Drosophila melanogaster: one gene and its partner. The protein of the gene in region 1 purifies or fractionates together with the protein of each later gene. This does not show direct contact. Each region holds a gene or a part of one and is shown in the gene's direction. Other genes may lie near its edges.

Region 1 (7,024 bases):
CTAGGAACCCATTCAGTTGGCGGTAGTTGACGTGGTATTGCACCTGATCCACCAGCAGCCTTGAACTCAGCGGCTGGGTGTGCAGTTCACTGAGTACGGCGTGCAGGGTGAGGAAACTCCCACGGGCCTTGAATAGGAAGTTGTCGGGGATTTCCGGAAAGTAGTAGAGGGAATCCTGTTGCTGTTCATGCTGATAGCACTCCGGTGGGAGTAGCAGCATAGCAAAGGGCATTCTTATGTCCACGGAACTACCGGGAATACCGAAGTTCCCCTCCGTTATCAACATCTGCTCAAACTTCTCCGTGAACATGGGAAAGTTCTCCACCTTGCACACCTGCTCCTCGCGGACATTTCGATTATACCCCGGATCGGTGGGCGAAACTGCACTGGCCGCACCGCACGACTGGAAGCCTAGGCACACCTGAGTGGGCTCCACGAACTGCTTGAGCAACTCATCCACATTGCTGGCGTACACCTCTATGCCATTCAGGGATCTAAACCAATCTCCCCGCTTGATGCCGTGCTGCAGCGCACTCACATCGTGAACGAACCCATCGACCATCAGGCATTCTGGTTGGTCCGGAAAGGGCAGGACCCGGAAGCCCAGTATGGACTCCACCGCCGTGGATCGTCGTCCGAAACGGAAGCGATCAGCGGCTGTGATCACCAGATCCAGTTTCTTGGGATCGGGGGCAGCCGTCTTGAACTGTGAGAAGCGGAACTCTTGCGGCTCCGTCTGGCTATCCAACCTGCTCGGGCCGTGGGACTGGTTTTGGTTCTGACTCTGATTCTGATTATTGCTGTGCGGCTGGCGACGCGACGACTTCTTTCCCAGGCGCAGCGATCGACGCATGAACTCCACCCGCCGCTCTGCCGAGACGCCAGTCTTCTCACATCGCACATACTCCATGTAGAAGAGACTGCCGTCTGTGGACACGTACTCCTCCCAGTTGGCCAGGTCGCTGCCATCGCTGTACGAGTTGCTCAGCGAGGAGTTCGAACTGGAGAAGGCCTCCGACGGCAGGCTGGCCGGCGATTTGCGCATAGTTTACCGGGGATAGTTAACTGGGCGGATAGTTATTAGTGGCCTACTATTCCAGGTACACACTCAACTATCTGCCGCCGGTTGATACCGCCTCAGCTCAGCTCTGAATGTCGACTGAAAGCCGAGATCCGATCTCAGCACTCAAAACCAGTTTCTAATTGAGCTCTGGCTCCGACCAGCTCAATACCACTCCACTCAAATTCCAGCGGGAAACGATCCACTCCCTTTGTGATCTGGTTCTCTTTCAAGCTGGGGAAACTCAAAACCCACCGTGGGTTAAGACAAGTATAGTTACCATAATACAATAACCAATTTCTTTTCTTTTTATAAGTGTTCGCATTTAACGATTGGACTGCTAACCAGTTGATTTCAGCGTGATATTAAGTTATAAATAATAATCATGGAAAATCCTTATAAAAATAGAGCTCCGTCTGCGATATGCTGACTCTGCACAAAGTCGCATTGAAGATTTGGTGGAACTTAAAGCAAAATTGGTGTGCTATCATAAGGATTGTGTTAATCAGCGGAAGATTAGTAAAATGTTGCTTCCTCAATGGGTATCCGATGATCATTTGTCATAGGAGACTACCGCTGAAGTCCTATCTCCCAATAAATTATTTTACGGCCAATAAACTGTGTATGCATGATATGAAGGGAATTGATATAATTAATTGGGCATTTGTGGACCCGGGTGTTTTAGTGGCCACCTTTTCGTATCGCCGATGGTCTGATAATCTAAGATTTTCCAAGTGATTTTTTTCATATCGGTCTCCGGACTGGACGCCGTAAATCAAAACTTTTCTATCTGCAAACAATCGAGTAGTATAGAAAATTGTGTCTCACTGAACTCACTATGTGCTGGCCAAAAGCGAGCCGTGGCTATATCGGTTGATCCGGAGCACCGATCCCATTGAAGTACGGGCCTAATAGCCGTACTCCGACGTCCAGATAATTATCCGATAAGGAACATGGCGTGGGCGTGAAGCGGGACGCCCAGTGCCACCGAAAAAGCGATACGCTGATAGTCCCGGGCCATTCAAGGGAAGATATTGCCAAAATTGATAAGCCGTATCATGGCAGAATTAGCCGCACATGTGTACCGCAGCTACCTATTATTTCTGCTGACCATCGGAGCAAGCTGAGTCCTCCAGCCAGTCCATTGCGCGAATCCAAGGCGTGTGCTTCGCCCAGCCGCAAATAAAGTGATTTGCGGGAAATGTCGGCCGCGGTTAACTATCACAAAATGTGGCTTAGATTTCGGAATACCCAGTGAAACTGAATGAGTGGCTAAAAATTGTATAGAACGCGATTATCTGTGTGATTGTGAAATCAAACAGCTGTCAAATCTTATTTATAATCCCCCATTACAAGCACTATAGGTGCGCAATTCAGTGAATATGTGTCCAAAATATATATGGGATGTGATCGTATTAGTATGCCTGTTCCTTGGAAACGTAAGGGAAGCATACACCGAGTTTTCGATCCAGGATGGCTTGATAATAGAACCAGATTCAGCCACAACATCCAGCGAAGAGGCCGAAGAGGTCAGCAAGGAGAGAACGGACCTCAAATCCCTCATGTTGAAGTACGAATCGGATGATGGGAACAGTTGTCTGCTGGATCTGATCAAGGACGAGGTGATATGGTGGCAGTTTCCCAACGGAACCCTCAGGGACAGCACAAAGAAATACGGTAAACCTATCCAATAAAGTCCAATAAAAATCCCTGCCCAAGTCTCAGTTTGATTGGGCATTGTTAACAGCTCTCGAAACTATATACATATACTTTCACGCTTCCGGCAACGCGGATCGACTGCTTATAGAAGGTCTTTGATGTTAGCCTAATCCCACCAGAATCGGTAACATTATTATGGAACCCCTTATCAGTGAAAGCTCTGCATTACTACACCCAGAGAAATTTAAAAAAATACCGATATCGGTTGTGTTCAGCGTACTCAGTGGCATCAATCATGCTCATTAGAAGAAACCTTCTTGATTTCGAGACGAAAACGATCTCAATGTTGATATTTTTTGGCGGAAGCAGTATCGGGTTTAAAATTGTGGAAGAGAGAGAGAGAGAGAGAGAGGCAAATGAGACCAGTCATTTGCAATCTGAGAACGGTTCGATCTCGATATGAGCATGATTTGATCCTTGCTAGATTTTAAGATCAAAAATCTCATATCAAGATCGTTGAGAACAGTCTTTTCTCTGAGTGTAGTAGCTTGGGCTGGATTTGGCAAAGCCACTCGCAACTATATGGATCTTAGCGATAATAAATTGTATCTCTTCGAATGTTTACACCCGGCACTTTTTGAACTTAGCCTTTATCCCCATAGTATCCGATACTGTCACTTTTGAATATGGTAGATTCACTTATAATTTATAGGTTCTGATCGTACCTTTAATTACTTATTTAAAGCGCACAAATTGTATTTGGATCTATCCCACGGTAATCTTAAGGACGACTCTGACCTATTCCGAGAAGCGAAACTTTCGAGGAAGGTTACCATTTGGAGGACAGAAGTCTTCTCGGCCGCATTCAATACGTTGACTGCAGCTCCGTTCAGGACGCTCTACTCCATGAGGGAATCCTTGAAGCTTTTATCGCTGCGAGGAAATAACTTTGCTGAACTGATTCCAGATGCTGAAGGTAAGCTTGGCCGGGTTAGATCATTGACCATTTAGTCAGTTGTGGGAACCGGAAACGCAATGGCACACGTATTCTGATGTCCAGTTACCATTCGCCGTTTCAGACTTTGCTCGATTTGTAAACGAGTCCCGCTTGGAGGCTAGTAACTCGGTACCACACCATTGTGAACTACTACTTTTACACAATACCACCGATCTGTATGATCGGGAATGCTATCTATACTTTAACAACAACACAAACATGGGACAATCAATCACAACCGGTAGAAACTATACGAACTTTATTAAGGTCTTAAAAGATCGGTTCGATCAGCACGGAAGTTCATGTAAGATCTCAACGCAAACACAATTACACAGCAAAGACGTTTTCCTAAAAGTCCTCATGCCACATTTAATCACAACTTGATATCCGTCATTTCCATATTCCTGGTTTCATATCTGTTAAAAGGTTCTAACTATGTAACTTAAGGAGGAAGGGTTTAATTTTTAAATATCATGCCATAAATACTTCTAACACGTGAATTCCTTATCTGTTTCCCAGCCCAATCTATAGCCTGGGCCACTTTTCCAAAGATGCCCCGACTTGTGGAGCTGGACATCAGCAACTGCAGCATCGAGTACGTGAGCAAGGAGGCGTTCCGGAATGTCAGCAATCTGCGGAGGCTCTTCATGTCGGACAACAAGATCATGACGATAAGCCACGACACTTTCTACTACGTCCAGGGAGTGCAGTATCTCGACCTGTCCTTCACTAACTTCCTGACCTATAGCTACCAACTGCAGTTGCCCACTCTGGAAATGGCCTTAAGCCTGATATACGGCCTGAAGATCCAGCAGAACGTGTTCAAATATCTGCCGGAACTGATTTACCTGGACCTCTCCCACTCGAAAATGACCAGGAATAGTGCGGTGGCTTTTGCCCATCTGGGGGATAAGCTGAAGTTCCTCAGTCTGTGCTACACTGCCATTCCCATGGTGAGCAGTACCATCTTCAAGAATACGGTTCTGGAGGGCCTCGACTTGTCCGGAAACCCCTACCTATCCTACAACATCATCGACGACGCCTTCGATGGCATCGCTAACACTCTGAAGTATTTGTACTTCGAGCGATCGAATATTAAGGATTTAGAGTGGTCCAAGTCGTTGAAGAACCTTCAGGTGTTGGGCCTCGCGGGTAACAACATCAACGCTCTCACTCCCGCCATGTTTCAGTCTCTGGAGTCCCTGGAGATCCTCGACTTGAGCTCGAACCATGTGGGCAATTGGTACCGCAGTGCCTTCCACAACAACTCCGCCCTAAGGGTTTTGAACCTGAGAAGCAACACCATCAACATGCTGTCCAACGAGATGTTGAAGGACTTTGAGCGATTGGATTACCTTAGTCTCGGGGACAACGACTTTATTTGCGACTGCCATTTGAGAGCGGTGGTGGAGGTGGCGGCCGCCAATAATAAAGATGCAGACTGCTCCTATAGACTGCTGAACTATAGTCAGAATGCCGTAGGTGAGGAGGTAATATCTCTGGCGGAGTCACTAATTATAGATCGCAAGCTATGGCAGAGTCGCTATATTCCCTGGCTGCAGAGAAGTTACTCCAACATCAGGGAGTTCAATCGCGCGAATCATATAATCAAGCTGCGCTTCTCCTCCGAGGACTACATGGTAGCCAAGTGCTCCGCGGCCCAGCCATACCACTTAGGGGACCTTGACGGAGATCTTACCCTAAAATTTCAGCTGCTCGACTACGAGGCCAGTCAGTATTACTGCTTCAACAACACCGATCAGCTCCAGGTGGATGAGCTCAACTGCCAGATCAGGTCGATGAGTGACCTCGCCGAGGAGTTGCACCACGTTACGAACACAGTGATCGCAGTCATGGGCAGCTTAGTTGGCGCTTGCATCCTGGGATTTATAATTTATCTGAAGCGCTGGCACATCCACTACTATTACTCTTCCCTGAAGTCCGCTGCCTTGTTGTCCAGTGCGTCCAAGGAGTCGGTGAATAAATTCACAAACATATCCCAGAGAGATCCCAGTGCCGTCTACGATATCTTCATCAGCTACTGCCAGAATGATCGGACCTGGGTGCTCAATGAACTGCTGCCGAACGTGGAGGAAACTGGGGATGTGTCCATTTGTCTGCATGAAAGAGATTTTCAGGTGAAGCGTACTTATCTTACAACATTAACTTACTAATAAAGTGAAACCTTAACCCTTAATTCACATGCAGATTGGAGTGACCATCCTAGATAACATCATCTCCTGCATGGATCGCTCGTATTCCCTTATGCTGATCATATCCTCCAAGTTCCTGTTGAGTCATTGGTGTCAATTTGAAATGTATTTGGCACAGCATCGGTAAGGAATCTTTATCTGTAAAATTCAAATATTAAAATCAATATATGTGTGTATATTGTAGCATCTTTGAGGTCAGCAAGGAGCACTTGATCCTGGTTTTTCTGGAGGACATTCCACGGCGAAAGCGACCCAAGACTTTGCAATATCTCATGGATGTGAAAACGTATATAAAGTGGCCGACGGCCAAGGAGGATCGAAAGCTGTTTTGGAAACGTCTGAAGAGATCCCTGGAGGTCATAGGGATCAACTCCAGAGAGATCAGTGTTTAGAAAACATGTAATTTTATCCGGAGAGTTCTAGTCAGTTGTGCACGTACCTGATATAGTATATAAACTACTTAATTACACTTTCATGAAGACGAAAGTTTCCCCACAGTAATCATAGTAATATGCAAAATTTGCTGCTGAACATAAGTATAGTTTAAACATATATTAATAAATAAAGGTATTTAGGTTTTTAAGAGCTTATGTGATGTTTTTGAAATATCTTAACAAAGGCAATAGCGTCGTATATTAAACATAACCTACTACTACTGGACACTATGTAAACAAAGCTAAGGCCTAAGAAATATCTAACAATGCAACACACAATCAATACATCAGTACCAATTGACTGATAATAACAATTAAAAACGTTTAATTTTGAAATACAAATTGAATAAACCGCAAGCATCGATAATGAGCAGAAAACTATCGATAACAACTGACACAGCTGATATTTGCCATCAGTAGTTTGCGCGCCAAAACAACAAACGGGCATTCCACAAATTGTAAATTACTATAGCAATTCCCGCGACTCACAATGGAGTTTGGTCTGAAGAAACGCGCGAGACATGAGGTGAAGGTGGAGGTGGCCAGCCTGGAAACCAAGTACCCGCACAACGTCATGCTGTACCACTATCCGCCGACGGAGGACGTGCACATAGACGAATTCGAGGAGCTGGCTCTAGAGCGCTTGCGCCTTCTCCGCGTC
Region 2 (4,653 bases), on another chromosome or scaffold:
AGCTGAATAACCAGAAGTACGCCCTCAGTCTCGTTCCTCGCTGCAATGCGACGTTGTGCAGCTTCAAGGAGGCACTGCATACCGTCTTCAAGGTGACCAACCGGCGACCCTGGGTGTGGAACGCAAAGCTGAACATCGGCAGCAAGATCTCCATTAGCCTGCAGGGCATAATCGCCATGAAGAACCAGACGCCCGTAAAGCTGGTAAAGGTCTGGGCGGAAAAGGATGAGATAGTGATACGGGAGACTCGTCATTATATCAAAGGCACTGAGATCACCCCGCTGCCGGAGAATCTGATAACCGGTTACATGCTGGGCGGCACTCCGGTGCCATACGACGAGGCCGTGCTAGAGCCAAAGGAACCACACCCACCTGGTCTCCACTTCTTTGGCTTTATCAAAAGAAATGCCGTGCCGGATGAGTACTTTTGTGGCGAGTCCTTGTACCTCCTGGTGCATCAGAAGCACAATCAATCTGCCGCCGTGAAGCTGGACGCTCTGGTGCGTGCTCTCGTTTCTTCGGATCGGGCCATACTGTGCTGGAAAATATATAGCACCAAGTTTAATAGACCGCAAATGGTTGTGCTACTGCCCCGCTTAGCAGACGATACCCATCCGGCTACTTTGTATATGCTGGAAGTTTCCTATACGTCTCAGCACCACTTCTGGGACTTTCCGGCACTGCGAACCACCAAGACGGAGTGCAGCGAGGAACAGCTGAATGCCATTGATCAGTTAATCGATAGCACCGATCTGGAGTGCACACTGCGGGACACGCAGCAGCCACGTCCGTGGGCGCAGAATGATCTGCTGCCGTTCGACGCACTTCCCAGCATCTTTGAGCAGAATGTCATGGACATCCTAGAGCGAAAAGTTATCTATGATAACGACAAGGAAGACAAAATGCTTAAGGACAAAAACTTCGCAGATGTATTCTGGCGAGTGCCAGATCCCTTGGAGGAGAAGTCAAAGAGAGCGGCAGCCATCGTAAAGAAGCTATTTCCATTGCGCTATAGTCGCGCCTGGCAGGAAAAGCTGTTGGCCAAGGAGCAGGCAGAGAATGGTGTGGCAGTCAAGTCGGAACCAGCGGAGAAGGAAATCCCGTTGCCATCAGACGGTGTGGGCTTAATTGATCCAATCTCTGATTTCAGGCGAGTCCTGGCTAGCGTTCACACAATCAGTAATGCCACTGAGCGAGATGCCCGCTTTCAGGCGCTGGCTGCCGATACCCGCGTGGTGATCATCACACTGCTGCAGCGCAGGAAACAGAACATCGGGCAACTGGGCGAGCTCATCACCCTGTACCGACAGAGCTGTATAGACTTCAACACCTTTTTGGAATACGACAAGTTCGCTGAGGAGCTGAAGAAGATCGCGCTGGCCAAGAATCGCAGCGAATTCTGGCAAGACGTTATGGTCGACAAGCAATTGGGCCCTTTGGTGCTTGGCGAGCCGACGCTGGACGACGAATTGGCTCTAAAAGCCTATTACACCATCGAGAATTGGGTGGAGAGTGGGGCGAACGATATGGAAGACGTTGAGATGTAGTTTATCATTCCATTTTGTTATATTAAGCAAATGTGCTAAAATTAGTTTTTGTTATACACAGTTTTTCTTATATGTAAGTCGAAAATAAATTATTATATTGTTTATATATATATACCAGAGTAAAAACTCGGTCGCATGTTTTAAAAACAACATTATATCCCTGGGAAACCACATCCAAATGATGATGATAATACATCTCTATGTTAATAAACATCGACACGCAGGAAGGAAAACGTTAGTAATACTTCTTATGATTGAGAAAAAAAAGTAAAATAAATACAATTTTCAATTCCAAATTTAAACTGAATACTTTTTGAAAATGGCGGCAACAACTTGTTGTTTTGCACTTATCGATATTTCCAAAAATCATCGGAGTGCGCATACCAATTAATCGATTCGGAATTCCGCTCCATACAGCTGATTTTAATCAGCGCTTTGGCAATAGAATTTAGTCAAAACCCGAGGGCATACTGTACCAAACTGTGGGGCTTCTGTTGAGGATTAGCCATGGGAGTTCCCACAAGCGATTGGATATACTGGTGTCGCCTGTGCGCCCGCGACGACGTTGTATACAAAGTGCGCGAGCGGGACGACGATCTGGTTAGGATTATCAGCAAATGCTTTGATGTGGAGGTATGTTATTCGTTTTCCCAGCCTACAGATAGCTTATACATTAGTTTTCCACACACGCAGATGACCCTCGAGGAACCGGAACTGGGCAGCATGTTGTGCGAGGAGTGCTACTCGGTGATTGGCCAGCTGATCACCTTCTCGGATAGCGTTTCCAAAGTACAAGCCATTTTTGAGCTTCTGCGACACTCGGAGCCGCAGGATAGCCAGGACTTGGACGCCCTGCGTCTGGAATACGGCCTTCCGCCGGCCTGCAAGCAGGACCTCGAGTTCCTGGACATAGACGATACGGAGGATAGGTGTTCCTTGGTAGAGGAGCTAACGATATCAGACCATTCCACATCTCCGTCACCCGATTTTGAAGCACAGACCGTGCGAACACGAGCTAATCTCAAACAGTGTAATTCCGATCCCAAAGTGCTAGCCTCACCTACTGCATCAATTCCTGAAGTTGAAACAAAACGAAGTCGCCGACAGCAGTTTGCGGCTAAGCGAAATTCCAAAGTGTACACTGCAACCGAGTCGGATGATGAGGAGGCCATTCTAGACGAAGACGAGGCCGTATCCCCGCCGCCTTTGAAGCGAAAAAGAGGCAGACCCAAGGGCTCAGGCAAACAGAAAAACGTGGACGACAGCGATAACGTAACTTCCCGCGAACCAGACGACAATGCTAAATCCAAACAAGATGACAAGACATCCGAATTGAGCATGTCACCCCATGGCTCCCAGAGTTCGAATTTCGTCGATTATCCCTGCAAAATCTGCAACGAAACCTTTATGTCCTTCATGGCTCTGCGCAGGCACAAGCACGACATGCACGGCGGTCCGAAGAAATACGTTTGCGATCACTGCGGAAAGGGTTTGAAGACCTTCACATCGCTGGTGGAGCACCAGCTGGTTCACACGGAAGAGAAGCCCTGTATATGCCCCGTCTGCAATGCTGGTTTTAAGAACAAAGCTAGGCTGAGAGTAAGTCATCGAATAATCTTGTGGACCAACTAAATCTTGAAATTTGTATACAATTTCCAGGTGCACAGTCAGACACATGGTGAGCCCAAGTTTGAGTGCAATGTCTGCGGCAAAAAGCTGCAGACACGGGCGATTCTTAACAAGCACAAGTATGTGCACACGGATGAGCGGCGCTTCAAGTGCGAGGTTTGTGGCAGCGGCTGTAAGAACTCCACGGCCTTGAAGATCCATCTCCTTGGACACACCGGCCTCAGACCCTACGTATGCAAGTACTGCGGAAAGGCGTTCGCCAGCAACACCAACTGTCGCTCCCACAAATGGAAAAAACATCCGGAACTGGCGTCCAAGGAGGATGAAACCGAATCTTCACGTGTTCCAGTGCCAACATTGGAAGAACTGAGAGCGATGTAAGCTATAGTCATGCATATTATTATTATTAGCTTACTATTGTACTAAATTTTTGGTTTGCAGAACTCGCGAGATGGCCAAGGCCAAACAGGATTAGACCATGTTGGTTGACAAAAATGTATAAATAGCAGTGCGCAGTAAAATTTTATCCCAGAGACATTTACATTTACACTTAATTAAACACACAACTGCCCTTTTTGCATTTAAATTGGTTTTTAATAAGTTTCAAAATAAATTCACTTTTTAAACGCACACTTAAATTGGGAAATGTGTTCACACATGAAAATGACATTGTATAAAAGATAATAATTGTTTGACTCACAATGTAGATTTAAAAATAACAATTGTAATTTGTGACACCAAATTATGCGTACACTTTGAAACACTCAATTGAAACTCCTGTGAGCGGTTGCAGCATATTTTAAAGATGAGCGCTATTCATAGAACTCCCACGCATGGTTCACTAGATTGCGACAAGTTGGTCTGTAGATAATTCCAAGGGCTTATTCACAATAAAATCAGTTTGAAATTATAACTCAGCAAATGTAAATGCTTCGTGCTAACACCAGATACATTGACACCTAATTAAACACACAACGGCCCTTTTTGCATTTAAGTTGGTTTTTTTTTTAATAATTTCAAAATACATTTACAATTTAAACGCACACTTAAATTGGGGAATGAATGAATGGCATATTGATCACCTATCAATATTTTGTGCCACAACTCGGTGATAAAATAGTAAATATTAAGCGATTAAATAATAAAAATGTAACAAGAGAAAAAAATATAAGGAACAACTAAATTAATACAAATTAGATCATTTGTGAGTGGGTCTCTGTGTAGGATAAATATCTAAACATGTTTTGATTTCGATGGTTTCTCTTTAATTACTTGCTGTTTAGGTTAACACGTTGAGAAGCAAAATATTTTGGCATGGCCTTCCTCCAAACCGAGCAGAGTCAATAAATAGTGCATCCAAGTAGGTTGGCTCTCTATCCCTTCCACCTTCACTCACTCCTAGTCAATGTTCAGCGAGGACATTAACTCTTCGACGCTGCATGGAAATAGAGGAAAGAAAAAATCATGTTGATTAAAC

The links. The genes of interacting proteins can lie anywhere in the genome.
Region 2: the proteins of Toll-9 (region 1) and wek purify together in Drosophila melanogaster (affinity purification with western blotting, with the first as the bait; one study listed by BioGRID). This does not show direct contact.

Annotation. Positions count from the first base shown.
Region 1 is NT_037436.4:20,361,337-20,368,360, reverse strand, and holds Toll-9 (Toll-9), read left to right. Parts: upstream 1-1,636; 5' UTR 1,637-2,221; intron 2,222-2,437; 5' UTR 2,438-2,442; coding exon 2,443-2,737; intron 2,738-3,464; coding exon 3,465-3,695; intron 3,696-3,798; coding exon 3,799-4,020; intron 4,021-4,235; coding exon 4,236-5,854; intron 5,855-5,924; coding exon 5,925-6,052; intron 6,053-6,113; coding exon 6,114-6,321; 3' UTR 6,322-6,518; downstream 6,519-7,024. Other genes in the region: in (inturned), read right to left, coding at 1-1,045; Prim2 (DNA primase subunit 2), read left to right, coding at 6,854-7,024.
Region 2 is NT_033779.5:15,765,633-15,770,285, reverse strand, and holds wek (weckle), read left to right. Parts: upstream 1-1,936; 5' UTR 1,937-2,054; coding exon 2,055-2,180; intron 2,181-2,240; coding exon 2,241-3,146; intron 3,147-3,206; coding exon 3,207-3,553; intron 3,554-3,617; coding exon 3,618-3,651; 3' UTR 3,652-4,153; downstream 4,154-4,653. Other genes in the region: Ku80, read left to right, coding at 1-1,547; CG3793 (uncharacterized protein), read right to left, coding at 4,575-4,611. UniProt on the Drosophila melanogaster protein: Acts as an adapter to assemble/stabilize a Toll/wek/Myd88/tube complex; required for efficient recruitment of Myd88 to Toll. Dispensable for innate immune response; plays a minimal role, if any, in the immune defense against Gram-positive bacteria and fungi.